2 linked regions of the Drosophila melanogaster genome follow. The protein of the gene in region 2 interacts with the protein of the main gene of each other region in a biochemical or structural test. Each region holds a gene or a part of one and is shown on either strand. Other genes may lie near its edges. The genes, in order: CG30031 and Rad23.

Region 1 (8,226 bases), on a different chromosome or scaffold from region 2:
ACCACGAGGGCTACAACGCCAACACCATGGTCAACGACATTGCCATCATCAAGATCAACGGCGCCCTGACCTTCAGCTCCACCATCAAGGCCATCGGTCTGGCTAGCTCCAACCCCGCCAACGGCGCTGCGGCCTCCGTCTCCGGATGGGGCACTCTCTCCTACGGATCCAGCTCCATCCCCTCCCAGCTGCAGTACGTGAACGTGAACATCGTTAGCCAGAGCCAGTGTGCTTCCTCCACCTACGGATACGGTAGCCAGATCCGCAGCACCATGATCTGCGCTGCTGCCAGCGGCAAGGATGCCTGCCAGGGTGACTCCGGTGGCCCACTGGTCTCCGGCGGAGTCCTCGTCGGTGTTGTCTCCTGGGGATACGGATGCGCTTACTCCAACTACCCCGGTGTCTATGCCGATGTTGCTGCCCTCCGCTCCTGGGTGATCAACAACGCCTAATTATTTTTCGAAATAAATCATATATGAACAGTTTATGACGGTCGTCAGTTTATTTTAAAAGATGGTCTTAGTTAAAAATCAGGACACAGGGTTCACATTTTTAGATGGTAATGACTGTTCGAGTGCAATGACTATTAGATATAGTGAGTTGTGCAAGCAGTAAAGGGACTGCTTTTAGGACTATGGAAATTGATTGATTGGATTTAACTATCCCCATATTCTGTTAGAATGCCCTAAGGATTATTAGCGTGATTGGAATTGTAAACAACTAGGCATTATTAAGAAGCAAACTTGCGCAATGTAGTCGTAAATAAAACATGCATTTTTAACTACAACTTTAAAGCTCTATTAGTTTTCCAAGACTGTACGTTAGGCGGATAGGGAAATCTAGATCATGATCAAGAAGAATATGAATTTTATAGGCTCGATACGCATCATTCTACATAAGACTTACTTTATAACGATATATTCGTAACCATTTTATTTTTATACTCTTTACTCGTAGAGTAAAAGTGTATAATAGATTCGTTTAAATGTATCTAACAGCTACAAGTTAGTGTTTCCAATCATATAATGTACATATATTCTTGATCAGGATCGATAGCCCCATCCGTCTGTCGAGTTCTTAGCAACTATAAAAGCTAGAAGCTTGAGATTAGGCATACAGATTCTAGAGACATAGACCCATATTTCCCCTCCCACAATTTTGAAAAATATTTTGATTTTTTTCACATTTTTATTGTTTTGTAAATTTGTATCGATTCGCCAAAAATATTTTTGCCACGCCCACTCTAACGCCCACAAACCAATCAAAACTTTTTTTTCATTCATTCATTCATTCATTTCATTCATTAATTTCATTCATTCATTTCATTCATTAATTTCATTCATTCATTTCATTCATTAATTTCATTCATTCATTTCATTCATTCATTTCATTCATTTCATTCATTTCATTCATTTCATTCATTTCATTCATTTCATTCATTTCATTCATTTCATTCATTTCATTCATTTCATTCATTTCATTCATTTCATTCATTTCATTCATTTCATTCATTTCATTCATTTCATTCATTTCATTCATTTCATTCATTTCATTCATTTCATTCATTTCATTCATTTCATTCATTTCATTCATTTCATTCATTTCATTCATTTCATTCATTTCATTCATTTCATTCATTTCATTCATTTCATTCATTTCATTCATTTCATTCATTTCATTCATTTCATTCATTTCATTCATTTCATTCATTTCATTCATTTCATTCATTTCATATCATTTCATTCATTTCATTCATTTCATTCATTTCATTCATTTCATTCATTTCATTCATTTCATTCATTTCATTCATTTCATTCATTTCATTCATTTCATTCATTTCATTCATTTCATTCATTTCATTCATTTCATTCATTTCATTCATTTCATTCATTTCATTCATTTCATTCATTTCATTCATTTCATTCATTTCATTCATTTCATTCATTTCATTCATTTCATTCATTTCATTCATTTCATTCATTTCATTCATTTCATTCATTCATTTATATCATTCATTCATTTCATTCATATCATTCATTCATTTCATTCATTCATTTTCACTGTGGAGTTTCTATCGATATGCCAGAAGAAAGATGCTAGTTCGTTCACCCTGACACTAGCTGAGTAACGAGAGTATCTGATAGTCGGGGAACTCGAATATAGCATTCTCTTTTGTTAAAGAGTAAGTTCGGTTAACATAAGTTAAACTATGTAGTAATTGATCGAAAACGGGTACCTCAACAAATTACCTTTAATTTATTAAAATGATTTAAACCATTATTAACCTCCCGACAGAAATCTAGGTGTTTGTTATTTTTCAGGAGGTGAGAATACATTTTTTAGAAGGTTTCCTTTCCCATTTGCTGAATAAGACACATTACTGTTGAATCAGTAATAGGTCAAAACCACAATGAAACATAATAAAAGTAATATCCAAACTGAAATTTATTTCGCATACTTCTTAGGCATTGCTAATAACCCAGGAGCGGAGGGCAGCAACATCGGCATAGACACCGGGGTAGTTGGAGTAAGCGCATCCGTATCCCCAGGAGACAACACCGACGAGGACTCCGCCGGAGACCAGTGGGCCACCGGAGTCACCCTGGCAGGCATCCTTGCCGCTGGCAGCAGCGCAGATCATGGTGCTGCGGATCTGGCTACCGTATCCGTAGGTGGAGGAAGCACACTGGCTCTGGCTAACGATGTTCACGTTCACGTACTGCAGCTGGGAGGGGATGGAGCTGGATCCGTAGGAGAGAGTGCCCCATCCGGAGACGGAGGCCGCAGCGCCGTTGGCGGGGTTGGAGCTAGCCAGACCGATGGCCTTGATGGTGGAGCTGAAGGTCAGGGCGCCGTTGATCTTGATGATGGCAATGTCGTTGACCATGGTGTTGGCGTTGTAGCCCTCGTGGTTCTTGAAGGAGGACACAGAGAAGGTGACACCGCCGGAGCTCCAGTAGCTGGATCCAGCACGGATCTGCAGGACGGAAGCGGACACGGACTGCAGACAGTGAGCGGCGGTCACGATGACGTTGCTGGAGTAGATGGATCCACCGCAGGAGTGGCTTCCACTGCGCTGCAGGGAGATCTGCCAGGGGAAGCTGCTGATGGTGGTAGCAGAGCCGCCGACAATGCGGCCATCCAACTGAGGCAGGAGTCCCTCAGGGACGGTGCCTCCCAGGGCGCAGGCTACTGCAGACAACAAGATCACGAACTTCAGCATGGTGCGAATCCAATGAGTTGACTCTAAACTGGACACCCCTTTTATACGAGTTTCCAATCTGTTCTTGGCACTATAATCACAACTTTCAATTATTTTTATCACCTGCGTGTCAGGAAAACCCAAATAATACCGTTGAAGTGCCCAAATGATATTCCACAACTCAGAAGTCGCACGGCTCTTTATCACAAAAATAAATAAAAATGCAAGGAAAGTGTAACTACTTTTATATTACCTTTCTAAATAATTCGCGTTCTTTTTATTATATTTAATTTGCAAGGTATTGATGGGAACGTCTTTTTTCGACTTACATATTTAAATAGGGGATTAAACTTGTACAATAACATTGTGGAATTTTTTAAAAGTGGATGCTTGTCATTCAACTTGATTTAGTTCTAATCTAATCCAATTATTATACATAATTGTGTGCATAACTATTAATATTATTGGCTTTTTAAAAGAAAATAACTGTTTAGCATTTTAATTTGTGAATTTTGTAAAACCATTAATTTTAAGAACAATTTAATCGCCTTTGCATTAATTTTAATTACATGATTATGCGTTCAATTGCATTGTTTTCTAGTAATGCTCATGATGTTTCTCATAAGTTATATAATTTCTTTTAAAAAATTATGGTGTCTGTTTATTTAAAACACAATAAATTGTTTATAGAAATATAAATTGTTTTAATTTCGTTTAAACCCCGATATCTTTATGTGACTATCTTTTTCAAGCTATTTAAATGACCAACTTATTGCAAAAAAAAATCGTTTGGCATGAATCTGGACTTTGTATACGTATATACTTCTTATTCGCGAAATCTATTTGTCGGTCACACATTTAAAAAATATTTTGGATTTCCCTGACAAGCAAGTGATAAAAATAATTGAAATTTATGATAAGAGCGCCACAAAGAGATAGGTCCCTGTATAAAAGGGGTGTCCAGTTTAGAGTCAACTCATTGGATTCGCACCATGCTGAAGTTCGTGATCTTGTTGTCTGCAGTAGCCTGCGCCCTGGGAGGCACCGTCCCTGAGGGACTCCTGCCTCAGTTGGATGGCCGCATTGTCGGCGGCTCTGCTACCACCATCAGCAGCTTCCCCTGGCAGATCTCCCTGCAGCGCAGTGGAAGCCACTCCTGCGGTGGATCCATCTACTCCAGCAACGTCATCGTGACCGCCGCTCACTGTCTGCAGTCCGTGTCCGCTTCCGTCCTGCAGATCCGTGCTGGATCCAGCTACTGGAGCTCCGGCGGTGTCACCTTCTCTGTGTCCTCCTTCAAGAACCACGAGGGCTACAACGCCAACACCATGGTCAACGACATTGCCATCATCAAGATCAACGGCGCCCTGACCTTCAGCTCCACCATCAAGGCCATCGGTCTGGCTAGCTCCAACCCCGCCAACGGCGCTGCGGCCTCCGTCTCCGGATGGGGCACTCTCTCCTACGGATCCAGCTCCATCCCCTCCCAGCTGCAGTACGTGAACGTGAACATCGTTAGCCAGAGCCAGTGTGCTTCCTCCACCTACGGATACGGTAGCCAGATCCGCAGCACCATGATCTGCGCTGCTGCCAGCGGCAAGGATGCCTGCCAGGGTGACTCCGGTGGCCCACTGGTCTCCGGCGGAGTCCTCGTCGGTGTTGTCTCCTGGGGATACGGATGCGCTTACTCCAACTACCCCGGTGTCTATGCCGATGTTGCTGCCCTCCGCTCCTGGGTTATTAGCAATGCCTAAGAAGTATGCGAAATAAATTTCAGTTTGGATATTACTTTTATTATGTTTCATTGTGGTTTTGACCTATTACTGATTCAACAGTAATGTGTCTTATTCAGCAAATGGGAAAGGAAACCTTCTAAAAAATGTATTCTCACCTCCTGAAAAATAACAAACACCTAGATTTCTGTCGGGAGGTTAATAATGGTTTAAATCATTTTAATAAATTAAAGGTAATTTGTTGAGGTACCCGTTTTCGATCAATTACTACATAGTTTAACTTATGTTAACCGAACTTACTCTTTAACAAAAGAGAATGCTATATTCGAGTTCCCCGACTATCAGATACTCTCGTTACTCAGCTAGTGTCAGGGTGAACGAACTAGCATCTTTCTTCTGGCATATCGATAGAAACTCCACAGTGAAAATGAATGAATGAAATGAATGAATGATATGAATGAAATGAATGAATGATATAAATGAATGAATGAAATGAATGAAATGAATGAAATGAATGAAATGAATGAAATGAATGAAATGAATGAAATGAATGAAATGAATGAAATGAATGAAATGAATGAAATGAATGAAATGAATGAAATGAATGAAATGAATGAAATGAATGAAATGAATGAAATGAATGAAATGAATGAAATGAATGAAATGAATGAAATGAATGAAATGAATGAAATGAATGAAATGAATGAAATGAATGAAATGAATGAAATGAATGAAATGAATGAAATGAATGAAATGAATGAAATGAATGAAATGAATGAAATGAATGAAATGAATGAAATGAATGAAATGAATGAAATGAATGAAATGAATGAAATGAATGAAATGAATGAAATGAATGAAATGAATGAAATGAATGAAATGAATGAAATGAATGAAATGAATGAAATGAATGAAATGAATGAAATGAATGAAATGAATGAAATGAATGAAATGAATGAAATGAATGAAATGAATGAAATGAATGAAATGAATGAAATGAATGAAATGAATGAAATGAATGAAATGAATGAAATGAATGAAATGAATGAAATGAATGAAATGAATGAAATGAATGAAATTAATGAATGAAATGAATGAATGAAATTAATGAATGAAATGAATGAATGAAATTAATGAATGAAATGAATGAATGAATGAATGAAAAAAAAGTTTTGATTGGTTTGTGGGCGTTAGAGTGGGCGTGGCAAAAATATTTTTGGCGAATCGATACAAATTTACAAAACAATAAAAATGTGAAAAAAAATCAAAATATTTTTCAAAATTGTGGGAGGGGAGGGAGGGGAGGAGGGGAAAGGGGAAATATGGGTCTATGTCTCTAGAATCTGTATGCCTAATCTCAAGCTTCTAGCTTTTATAGTTGCTAAGAAACTCGACAGACGGATGGGGCTATCGATCCTGATCAAGAATATATGTACATTATATGATTGGAAACACTAACTTGTAGCTGTTAGATACATTTAAACGAATCTATTATACACTTTTACTCTACGAGTAAAGAGTATAAAAATAAAATGGTTACGAATATATCGTTATAAAGTAAGTCTTATGTAGAATGATGCGTATCGAGCCTATAAAATTCATATTCTTCTTGATCATGATCTAGATTTCCCTATCCGCCTAACGTACAGTCTTGGAAAACTAATAGAGCTTTAAAGTTGTAGTTAAAAATGCATGTTTTATTTACGACTACATTGCGCAAGTTTGCTTCTTAATAATGCCTAGTTGTTTACAATTCCAATCACGCTAATAATCCTTAGGGCATTCTAACAGAATATGGGGATAGTTAAATCCAATCAATCAATTTCCATAGTCCTAAAAGCAGTCCCTTTACTGCTTGCACAACTCACTATATCTAATAGTCATTGCACTCGAACAGTCATTACCATCTAAAAATGTGAACCCTGTGTCCTGATTTTTAACTAAGACCATCTTTTAAAATAAACTGACGACCGTCATAAACTGTTCATATATGATTTATTTCGAAAAATAATTAGGCGTTGTTGATCACCCAGGAGCGGAGGGCAGCAACATCGGCATAGACACCGGGGTAGTTAGCGGCAGCACATCCGTATCCCCAGGAGACAACACCGACGAGGACTCCGCCGGAGACCAGTGGGCCACCGGAGTCACCCTGGCACGAGTCCTTGCCGCTGGCAAAAGCGCAGATCATGGAGCTCTTGATCTGGTTTCCGTAGCCATAGGAGGAAGAAGAGCACCGGCTCTGGCTGACGATGTTCACGTTGACATAACGCAGCTGGGAGGGAATGGAGCTGGAGCCAGAGGACTCGGTACCCCATCCGGAGACGGAGGCAGCAGCACCGTTGGCGGGGTTGGAGCTAGCCAGACCGATGGCCTTGATGGTGGAGCTGAAGCTCAGAGAGGAGCTCAGATGGAGCACAGCGATGTCGTTGACCATGGTGTTGGCGTTGTAACCCTCGTGGTTCTTGAAAGAGGAAACCTTGGCGACGACGCCACCAGAGCTCCAGTAGCTGGATCCGGCGCGGATCTGCAGGGAGGAGGCGGACACGGACTGCAGGCAGTGAGCGGCGGTCACGATCACCCTGGCGGAGTAGATGGATCCACCGCAGGAGTGGCTGCCACTGCGCTGCAGGGAGATCTGCCAGGGGAAGCTGCTGATGGTGGTAGCAGTACCGCCGACAATGCGGCCATCCAACTGGGGCAGGAGACCCTCGGGGATGGTGCCTCCCAGGGCGCAGGCTACAGCCGACAACAGGATCAGGAACTTCAGCATGGTGCGATTGAATGGATACTCTTCGAACCGAAAAGTGTGCTTATATCGGGGGTCACTATCTCGGGAGGCGTTTAATCAATGGACAAGTGAGATTCCTCGTGGTTAAAGTGGATAACGATGTGGAGTGGTCGTCGTGTGATAAGCTGATTATTTCTAAATATCACCGCCTATATCGATGGTGAAAATGACGCAACAATTATGCTGAAGTTGCAGCTGTCAATCAAGTGGAGATATTTGCCGCGGGGACTGTATAAAAGGGGTTTTGATCCGCGAATCAGCATACAAACGATTAAAATGTTGAAATTCGCGGTACTTCTTTCCGTTTTGGCCTGCGCCTTGGCTGGCACCATTCCCGATGGCCTGCTGCCCCAGTTGGATGGTCGTATCGTCGGTGGTTATGAGACCAGCATCGACGCCCATCCCTACCAGGTGTCCTTGCAGCGCTATGGATCACACTTCTGCGGTGGATCCATCTACTCCCACGACATTGTGATCACCGCCGCTCACTGCCTGCAGTC
Region 2 (9,799 bases):
CGATCATTGTATGTGGGGAGTGGCCAATCCCAAAAACGGACATCAGTTCCGGAGCAACCAGATTACTCACAGACCATTGGACTTTCTCTTGTGCTTGGATTTGTCTTCATGATGTTGGTGGACATCTCTCAGCGGAAGAGTAATGTTGGAAGTAATAAAAAAAACAATGCCACACTAACTCTTGGATTGGTTGTGCATGCCGCAGGTAAAGAAGCTTATATTGGTGTACCCACCATATCTTAAAAATTGTTGTTCTTTTGCAGCTGATGGAGTTGCATTGGGAGCAGCTGCCACCACTAGCCATCAAGACGTTGAGATAATTGTATTTTTAGCTATAATGCTTCATAAGGCACCAGCAGCATTTGGATTAGTGACATTCTTACTGCACGAAAAAGTAGACAGACATCAAATTCGCAGACACCTAGTCTTATTTTCCCTGTCGGCTCCCCTTATGACTATTTTAACGTATTTTGGGATCGGACAGGAGCAGAAGGACACGTTAAATTCCGTGAATGCCACTGGTATAGCTATGCTATTCTCCGCTGGAACATTTTTGTACGTAGCAACTGTGCATGTTTTACCAGAGCTTACCCAAGGGGGATTTACGAAAAGCGATCAGCATGATTATTGTTTGCTAGAGGAATCTCGAGGTGTTGCTACGAATGATATAAATGGAAGCAATAGTATTCAAGCACTAAAATATAGTGAATTGGTAATTCTGATTTGCGGCGCACTGCTACCCCTAATTATAACATTTGGACATAATCACTAGTAATGTAGTAATACATATATTTTTGTCAAATAAGATGAAGTAAAAGTTAAGGGATATTAAGCTATAAATATATTGGGTTTAATTTCTCGGATATACAATTATTAACATTAAGTGCTTTGCACAAAGATTTTGAATTTAATGAATTGTCGCATGAAAGTCAAATTTGGTACCGACGTCAACTTTTGTCAGCTTTCTGTAAAGTTGAGTGATTTGAGAGGCCTTATACGAGAATGTATTGTGAGTAAACCAAGCAAAATGAGGAAGGTCAAAAAGTAGTGCAAGAAATATTTTACTTTAATATTTAGACTTGCGCAGGCAGGAATAGTACGCAAGTCGGCGCCGAATTCATTGGCATCAGAATTTTGACTCCGGCTCCTATATACTATATGTTAATTTATAATTATATATGTTTTTATTGTATTTAATAACAATGGATAGTTTACGTTCTCAGAATGGTAGTAAAAAGTAAGAGACGGTTTAAAGGCAGCTTGGCAATGTCACCATTGGTTTACTGGATAACGTCTTCTGTTACGGCCTTAGATTACGGATTTCTATAACTACTTCTGCTATGACTTTCTACATTTATAGATACCTTTCTGCGTCTTTTCTACTTTAATTCTGCTCAACTTCTTTGCGGAATATTTTTCGCGCGTTCTTTATTTCCGCTGTTCTTGTCTTGTCTTGTAAATATGAATCATATCTTAGCAAAGATCTTTAAAAACTTCTTTGGCTATAAATGATGTGTATTATGGGCACTTCTCTTCTACTAGAACGTGAAAAAAACTGTTTCCCAAAATCACGACGACAAATAGCTTTGCTGACTGCAGTTTTAGGCAGTTTTTTAAACCATGGCGTTAAGTTGATCCATCTTTGTTTTTGACTATGACGAGTCTGCTGGCGAAATTCGGCGCCGACTTGCGTACTATTCCTTTTCGTTGCCATTCCGAAACCTGATCTCGATTCTCTTCTCCTTGGGCACAATCGACAAAATTTGGTAAAATGTTCAATTACTTGTAGCATGGATTTGTTTCAAATTAGGATAAATTGTTTTCCCTTTACATATATACAATCTTATAATATTTTGTATCTTTTCACCGCGTAGCATCTTACTAATACTTCCAAAATCACTAGGTTGCGTCATATCGATATGAGAAAGTGTACATCAATCCGGTAGTTTGTGTGTAAACACCACTCTATCGTTCTAACTTTTTGATTTGTCGTTAGATAAGCTGTGAAGCTTGTCTTTCGTCGTTGCCAGACCATTTCCACATAAATGTGTATGTTTTCACTTTATATGTATGTCACTGTGGTCGGCAGTCCTATTCGTGTCAATGGTCACCAAAGAGTTTCTATACTACAATTTTGAGCTTAAAGATTTGTCATTAACACAGTCAAACCAAAGACACTAGAATAACGTTATTTGTGGTCCGGTGGGTATGCCCATGTTTATAAAGTTAATTCGACCCAGTCTAAAGTTCTGGAACGTGTCAAGGAAAGAAGTATTAACGAGTGCTTCTCTTTCCACTTACCTGCGTTCTACCAAATCTACCAATAATTCTTGTGTCTTTGAATCTACATTGAGTCAGGAAAGATTTATAATTGTAGCAACATTATAGAGGGGACCATAGCCATACATGAAACTATTAGAGATTTATTAATATTAAAGTGTAGAATTCTTTGCATTAATAATGCATATTACAATGTTCGAGTTTTATATTTGTCGTATTAATTGGCAAGCAGAAAAGTATCATAAGTCCAAATGTTCTACAGTTTTGTATATTTGTAAATTAATGATAATCTAAGTACTGTAAAACTGGAGAACATTTATTCCTGTAAAAATAAGCAATAAAAAATATTTATAAAAATTTTAATTAGTTTTTTCGTGAGTAAAGGGTATCTGATAGTCGAGGCACTCGACTATAGAATTGTTATGAATGTCATGCAATTAATGAAATTGTTTTATTTCTCCGACTCATCCTGAAAGGAATCACCAAAGAGACGCCACAGCTTATTAGGGCATAATTGCGGACATTATTTACAATAAAAAAACACGAAATTTATGTAATACAATGATTAATATATTTTAGTCATATGTCCAACATCCAGGACGACAAAAAGTACTTTATGTGTTAAGTGACTTAATTGTGGACTCCCACTAGTCAAAAAAATATTTTATAAATCAACCAAGATAAGGAAAGAATAAATCATAAGACTTCTTTAGCTTAATACGACCTTAAAATAATTAATGTGTGTATTGCATATACACTAGAAATACACACACTAGAAATATACTTTGCCATCCATTAGGTGAAGGCCTAATCCAAGGCCTCCCTACCATGGATTGGCACAGATAAATTTGTAGACATTTGCAGTCTTATGCTGAAGACAATGTCGTGGTGAAATATTTAGTAAAAATGACATCGTAACTCTATTTTACCCATGGCTGCAATTTTTAACAAATAACAAGTACAATACGCCGACGGTATTAAAAGAATATAAAAGAATTTTTATGATCGACATTTTACATTTAATTTAAGAACATCTAACTTTAAATGTAACGCTTCCGGTGTTATTTGCATAACTTCTTACATTTTGTCATCCTAATCATCGAAGCTAGACGATAGCAAAAAATTAGCTGCTTGTTCCTCGTTCTTTTCACAAGCGAAGTACGCTTGCAGTACAAGGGCCTCTGGGAATCCAAGAGCTTTTAGCTAGAAGAAGAATATATTAAGTAACTCGACAGTCCATATATAATTATTCACTCCTATATACCCGTTCTATTGCGTCCTTATCTTGGCGATTTAAACGAATGGTTGATACTCCTAAAGGTTGTTCCAAGTCTTCGTTATCCGCTGCGCTACCGCTTTGATGTGCTGCACTTGTACCCGCGGCTGATCTTTGTGCTGAAGTAGCTACTTCTAAATCTGGAGAAAAGAGGTCAACATTGTCCAAAGTTGAAGGAATCCGCGCATTCGAAACGGGAGGAACGGTGGCGCCTGACTCCGATTCGCGGTCAATCGGTTGATTAAGCATATTGAGAAACGCATCTTGGTTCTCCGAAATAAGTTGTAAAAGGGCTGGGTTTGTCTGACCAATCTATACGTAAAAAAAATTATCATTTACGTGTCATGTAATTATTATTATAAGTGTACTTACCTGCTGCAATACTGCATGCAAAAGATGAGGGTTTTGATAAATTAAAGATCGCATTTGAAGAAACTGTGGCTGGCTACGTAAAAATTCAAAGGGGTCTGAAACGTAAATATAAATAATTAAATAATAATTAAATTAACTAAAAACATATAGTGATGCCCTGTCCTTGAAGAGAATAGTGACAAAAATTCGTGAATTATCGCTCCTTTAGTGTCTGTTGACATATATATGTAAATGATACTGCGGGACAACGAGCTCACAAACATTTTAGTGAATCTTTAACAGCTGCATATATTTCCAGTACTAAGAGAACTCTTTTATTATTTATTAACGAATGTGCAACATAAGTTTTGATCAACAATATTTCTTGACCAGGAAAACTAACGCAATTATGTTAAGGCCGTATAATTTCATTAAAGAGCGAGAGCCAAATCGGGTTTATTAATTTCACTATGTTTTGAAGTGTGCAAATTTAGTACTTCTGGGTAGAAATTATATATTTTCGTTTCATACAAGAATACATAAATTGACTGCTGATTGAAATCCCATCAAGTTACCTGAATTTGATTCTGTTGAACGCTCGGCAGAGGTTGCCGACGCAGGTTGCGGTCCGGAGGGGATTAGACTAGGATTCGTTGATTCATTCAGCCTATTGTAAAAAGTACCTTCCTCTGCAGGTATGCCATTAATGAGATATTCAACGGCTCTTTCCGGGTTGTTATAACTAGCAGCCATCGCACGTTCAACCTGCTCTCTTGGGTAACCCATTTCCACCATTGATAGGACTGTTTGGTTGTATTCGTCACCCATAAGCAAATTAGATTCAGCGCGCGATTGTAAGGAAGCCTGGGCCAACTCGCCAATCAATTCGTCACTAGATAAAGGTCTGGTTTCACGTGATAAAACTGAATCTTCTGTATTTGTGGAACTAGGCGAATTGGTATGGTTGGCTTCTTCGCAAGGCATAGATTGCTTTGAATCGTCGGTGCTAGTCAATTTATTACTTTCTTTTACACTAAGTTGATTACGATTTGAACTAGACGAATCGCGTGTCAACATTACCACAATGAACTTTTTTTCATCAACGTTGTATGAACCAACGGTGCGGTCATCCGTCAATATGACGCCAGCGTAGATCAGTTTTTGTTTTTCGGCGACGTACTCTGGACCGCGCTCCTCGAATATTTTCTTCTTCAGTTCCAAAACCTTTTGTAATCAGAATCCCTGCTTATTATGGTACAACAAATTAATTGTAAGAAATACCTGTATAAGCACACATATGCATTTGCAATAATTGTATATACCATACATGTGAATATACTAGTATTTGACTATTTGTACACATACCGTTTTTTCCGGGGCAAACTCAATAGTAAAAGTTTGCTGTTGAAGATTTTTAATTGTAATAATCATCTTGTGTATCAGACAAAACCAAAACTTAATTAAATATACATATGCATACACATATGCAAACTCGAAAGTTAGTTCCCAATATCGCTTGATAAAAACGATTTGTCATCAGTGTGACCGCACATGGACTGGCAAATTATACCTTCTCGCTTAAAAGACACAAAATCGCAGCACAAACCAAAGAGTTCAATAGTCCTTATAACATTTTCACACATCAAGAAAGATGTAAAGATTTGTAATGAAATTTATAATGAAATATGAAATATTGAAGTCATAATGAACGTAACAAATAAACAATTGTCCGTGGTTTGACTGTAGTTAGTATTTCATTATATCAACGATTTAGATCATACTATATACAGGTTATACCTGTAGTATATAAGTCTATTTATAATATACCATCGGTTGATGATCAATAAATTTCAAAGAAATTTAATTTTTAATTCCGTTTAAGTAGTTCGGTATTTCTTTAAAAATACTTTAGTTTAACCAAAGACACTAGAATAACAAGATGCGTAACGGCCATACATTGGTTTGGCACTATGCAGCCACTTCTTTGGTGACTGCCAAAATTACTCTCTTTCCGCTCACTCCCGCTGAGAGCGTAAGAAATCTAAAAATATAATTTGATTGCTTGTGTGAGTAAAAACAAGAGACGAGAACGCGTATAAGTGTGCGTGTTGTGCTAGAAGACGATTTTCGGGCCGAAATCAATTCTGATCGAAGAAACGAATTTACATGGTACATATTAGGGTAGTTTTTGCCAATTTCCTAGCAATATGATAAAATAAAAAAATTTTTAAAAATTCGCGCCCTGACTATTATAATTTTAAAGCTTTTTAAATTTGTTTGTTAAAATCGCCGCTCGAATTAGCTACCGTTTACACATTTATATTTATGTTTAATTCTAATTTGTCTCTCATCTGACAATTTTTTAAAAGAGAAATTATTTTTTTAAAACACTTTTAATGTTAATGTTACATCATATTAAGTCAAATGATTTAATAAATATACTAAATAATTAAATATGATAACTGTTTATTGCAAAAGTAATATCAAAGTAATATACTAGAATAATTCTAATGCTTTGTTCATATCTTGAGGCACGAAGTGCGGACACAAGCACTCAACAATCATTGCCTTATTAATTTTTCACACGCCGCAAGATGAATACTCTAATGACAAATATTCTTATATAAAGTCATTTTTGAAATTTATTTTTGTGATAATATGTACATAGATTTGGCTATTTCTGATATATTTTCAAATAATAATAACGTTAAGGCAATGCAAAACAAGAATTTTTCGCATGGTGCCAATTGATCAAAAATAATATAGATTTAAAGTCTAAAAACTTCTGAGGTGAAGGGCATATTTTGTCAAATTTACAATGCATGAGCATACGTGTGCACACATACAGATGTCTCCTACCACTTTGTGCGTTGAAAAGAGCTGTTCGCTGTAGCGCTCTTCGCTCTCTCGCTCTCAAACAAAAATTCGAGAGAGCCTGGAGCCACCTCTAGAGCCACGGCCAAAAAATCGTGTGCCAAAAAATCGTATGGCGTTACGCATCTTGTTATTCTAGGGTCTTTGGGCAAACCAATGTATGGCCGTTACGCATCTTGTTATTCTAGTGTCTTTGGTAATACCGTATTCCTTTCAAAAGATATACATCAATGCTTATCTTCTGTCTTGTGAACATATATGATTTGAGTTCATATAAGATTAACGAAAATTTCGAAATTAAGATAACTATTGCTGTATCATCAGTGGGGTGTTTAAATGTAGTAAATATCGAGAATTTTAAAAGATACAATTTCAAAAATGACAAATGTGTTAATTCTAAATAATTGTATATACCATAAAAACAAAAAATAAAAATTTGCTGTTGAAGATTTTTAATTGTAATAATAATCTTGTGCATTAGACATTTGCAAAGAATAATACAAAAAATACACGAATGCATTGTTTTTCCACTTATCAATTAATAATAATAAATAAGTGTATTCATGTGAATTAATTTCATTTCTTGTGTTAGCATCAGATTTTCATTTCTTCGTGCACTCTCTCCTAGCTTTCTTTTTAACCGTGACATATCGGGATCTGCCAAGAAAACTATTTGATGACAGGATCTAGAGGAAGTAAACAATTCGATGCACTTGTCAAGGTAGAATAAGGATGGCTGTATTCAGAACTCTTGTCAGTTATTATCCCCCTAAGTTCCGATTTTGGGAATTCCTAATGAGTAGCACAACAAAATTGGCTGCACTCAGCCACAATTATATTTTGGTAAATGTTTCAAAGTACTCCGTATTATAACTCGTACCTATGTATATGCATACATATACTAGTATTTTCAATGACATGCGCACAGAGTCGAGCTTTTCATGCAAACGAGCTCTTATAAAAAAATGTATTCGACGTGTTTTCATTGGCATAAGTAGCTCGATATTAACTTAAACGACATATTGTTTTAGGAATAAAGTAGTTTTAAAGTAAAATACAGTTTTTGCCGTTATTTAAATTCAAAGGAAAGACTCAAATTTGTAATAACAACACGCAATCTAATAAGACAGTGTAAAAACATAGAGTACTGTAACAATTATACTGAATGTTGGATTAGTTTGGTTTGCTTATTTCTTAATTGGGATCTCCGGCACCTGCAACCTTTATGACAGCGAACTAAACAAATAATAATGTTTTGGACCAAGTTTTATGAGATTTACATAAGTCAAACATAAAACAATGTGTACTCCTTTAAAAAGAAAGCCATTAAATAACAATATTATATGCTCTACATCTTAAAGTGCGACATAGTTTATACTGTGGTGGTACTGTGGTATAAAAAATAAACAAATAAAAATAAGTTGGGTGTTGTTATTATATATTATTATACACCTTAGTTACAGAAAGTTACGTTCTTATCTGCATGAAATAAATATGTATGCCCGAAGATATTATATCTTACATAATCGATTTCTTTGTTATTTACTTGAATTAAGATTCGAATTGTCGTAAAAAAATTACACATACTTCTCACTATTACAGACATGGCAAGCATAGTACTTATAGCTTGCTTGGCTATATTGGGATTAATTATTACAATCGCTCTTTTTCTGGCTGGAGGATACTTGTGGTGGAGGCATAAAAGATCACAGTTACAGTTTATTGAACCAAATGAAGATGAGGAATCTAGTAGTTATAGTCTTCGGTAAGTATTTGCATTTCCTGTTTAGTATATGACTTTATATATTTCATGGGGACAGACATTCGACTCTTAACAAGCGATAGAGGATCTATTTATGTCTATGACTGTATATTATCAACGATTTTGAGTATGCAGTATTTCTAAATTGTCCTATTCATTTGACTTTTTTATAAATACGTTAGTTGAGTACCCTCGGAATATTTAGAATATTTATATATCATGCTCTGCAATATATAATAATATATAATTATAATTTAGCTACAAAAAACCAACATTTTTGAGTTGTATGCAGTTTAATGAAACATCATAATTTATAGCTTATTATCGGATGATTGATTGGCAAATACAAAATTTTAACGTTAAAATATTTTATTCTTCTGTAACGGGAACCAATCGATATAAATTGCTAATTATGCCCGTTACTTGTAGATTAAAAGGGTATAGTAGATTCGATGAAAAGTAAGTAACAGGTAGAAGGAAGCGTTTCCGACCATATAAAGTATATATATTCCGTCTGTCCGATCTCGATCCCAGGAACTATAAAAGCTGGAATGTTGAGATTATGCATGCAGTTTCCAGAGACAAATGTTGCCAAGCCCACACTACCGCCCGTCGTATTTTCATACGTTTATTAGTTTTGTAAATTTCTATTAAATTGCCAACTTCATGCTACGCCCACTCTAAAGCCCACAACCATCCCAAAACTGCCACGCCGACACTTTTAAAAAATGTATTAATGAATTTTCATATTTTTGCTAGTCTCGTAAATTTTTATTCACATTTTGAAAAATGTTTTAATTTTGTGGCGTGGCGACATCAGGAAACAATATTGAGCTGTGCCTATGTCTCTGGAATTTACATGCTTAGTCTCAACTGTCTATCTTTTTTAGTTTCTAAGGTGGTGGGTGTTATTTTATTTTTTCTTTTCATTCCAGTTTTTATCGGTACGCCAAAAAGAATGTCGAGAAGATGTTGAAATAAGACTTTGCGAGAGTTGTATGCAGTTAGCTTGAAAGTAGTGTACATACGGACGAGCGAGCAGATGGACGGACGTAAAGGGTTAGTTCGTCTCGGCTAGTGATCCTGATCAAAAATCGCTCAAAAATCACAACCAATCGAAACGCAAGCTATCGTAATTTTTGTCACACAAGTTGAGAGAATGTGCAAAAGGGAATAGTACATACATATACACAAAAAAAGAAAACGATTGATTCTTTGGTAGTCCGTAACAAGTGATAATCAAATACCAAAGACAC

Evidence for each region.
Region 1: of the proteins of Rad23 (region 2) and CG30031, one has a biochemical effect on the other in vitro, tested with the Drosophila melanogaster proteins (one study listed by BioGRID).

What each region holds. Positions count from the first base shown.
Region 1 is NT_033778.4:11,345,824-11,354,049, reverse strand, and holds CG30031 (uncharacterized protein), read right to left. Parts: upstream 3,240-8,226; 5' UTR 3,224-3,239; coding exon 2,462-3,223; 3' UTR 2,429-2,461; downstream 1-2,428. Other genes in the region: CG30025 (uncharacterized protein), read left to right, coding at 1-452; gammaTry (gammaTrypsin), read left to right, coding at 4,195-4,956; betaTry (betaTrypsin), read right to left, coding at 6,947-7,708; epsilonTry (epsilonTrypsin), read left to right, coding at 8,003-8,226.
Region 2 is NC_004353.4:303,763-313,561, reverse strand, and holds Rad23 (Rad23), read right to left. Parts: upstream 5,470-9,799; 5' UTR 5,339-5,469; coding exon 5,273-5,338; intron 5,150-5,272; exon of another isoform or gene 5,132-5,149; coding exon 4,483-5,131; intron 4,024-4,482; coding exon 3,929-4,023; intron 3,869-3,928; coding exon 3,545-3,868; intron 3,484-3,544; coding exon 3,373-3,483; 3' UTR 2,740-3,372; downstream 1-2,739. Other genes in the region: Zip102B (Zinc/iron regulated transporter-related protein 102B), read left to right, coding at 1-205, 264-772; Syt7 (synaptotagmin 7), read left to right, coding at 8,386-8,546.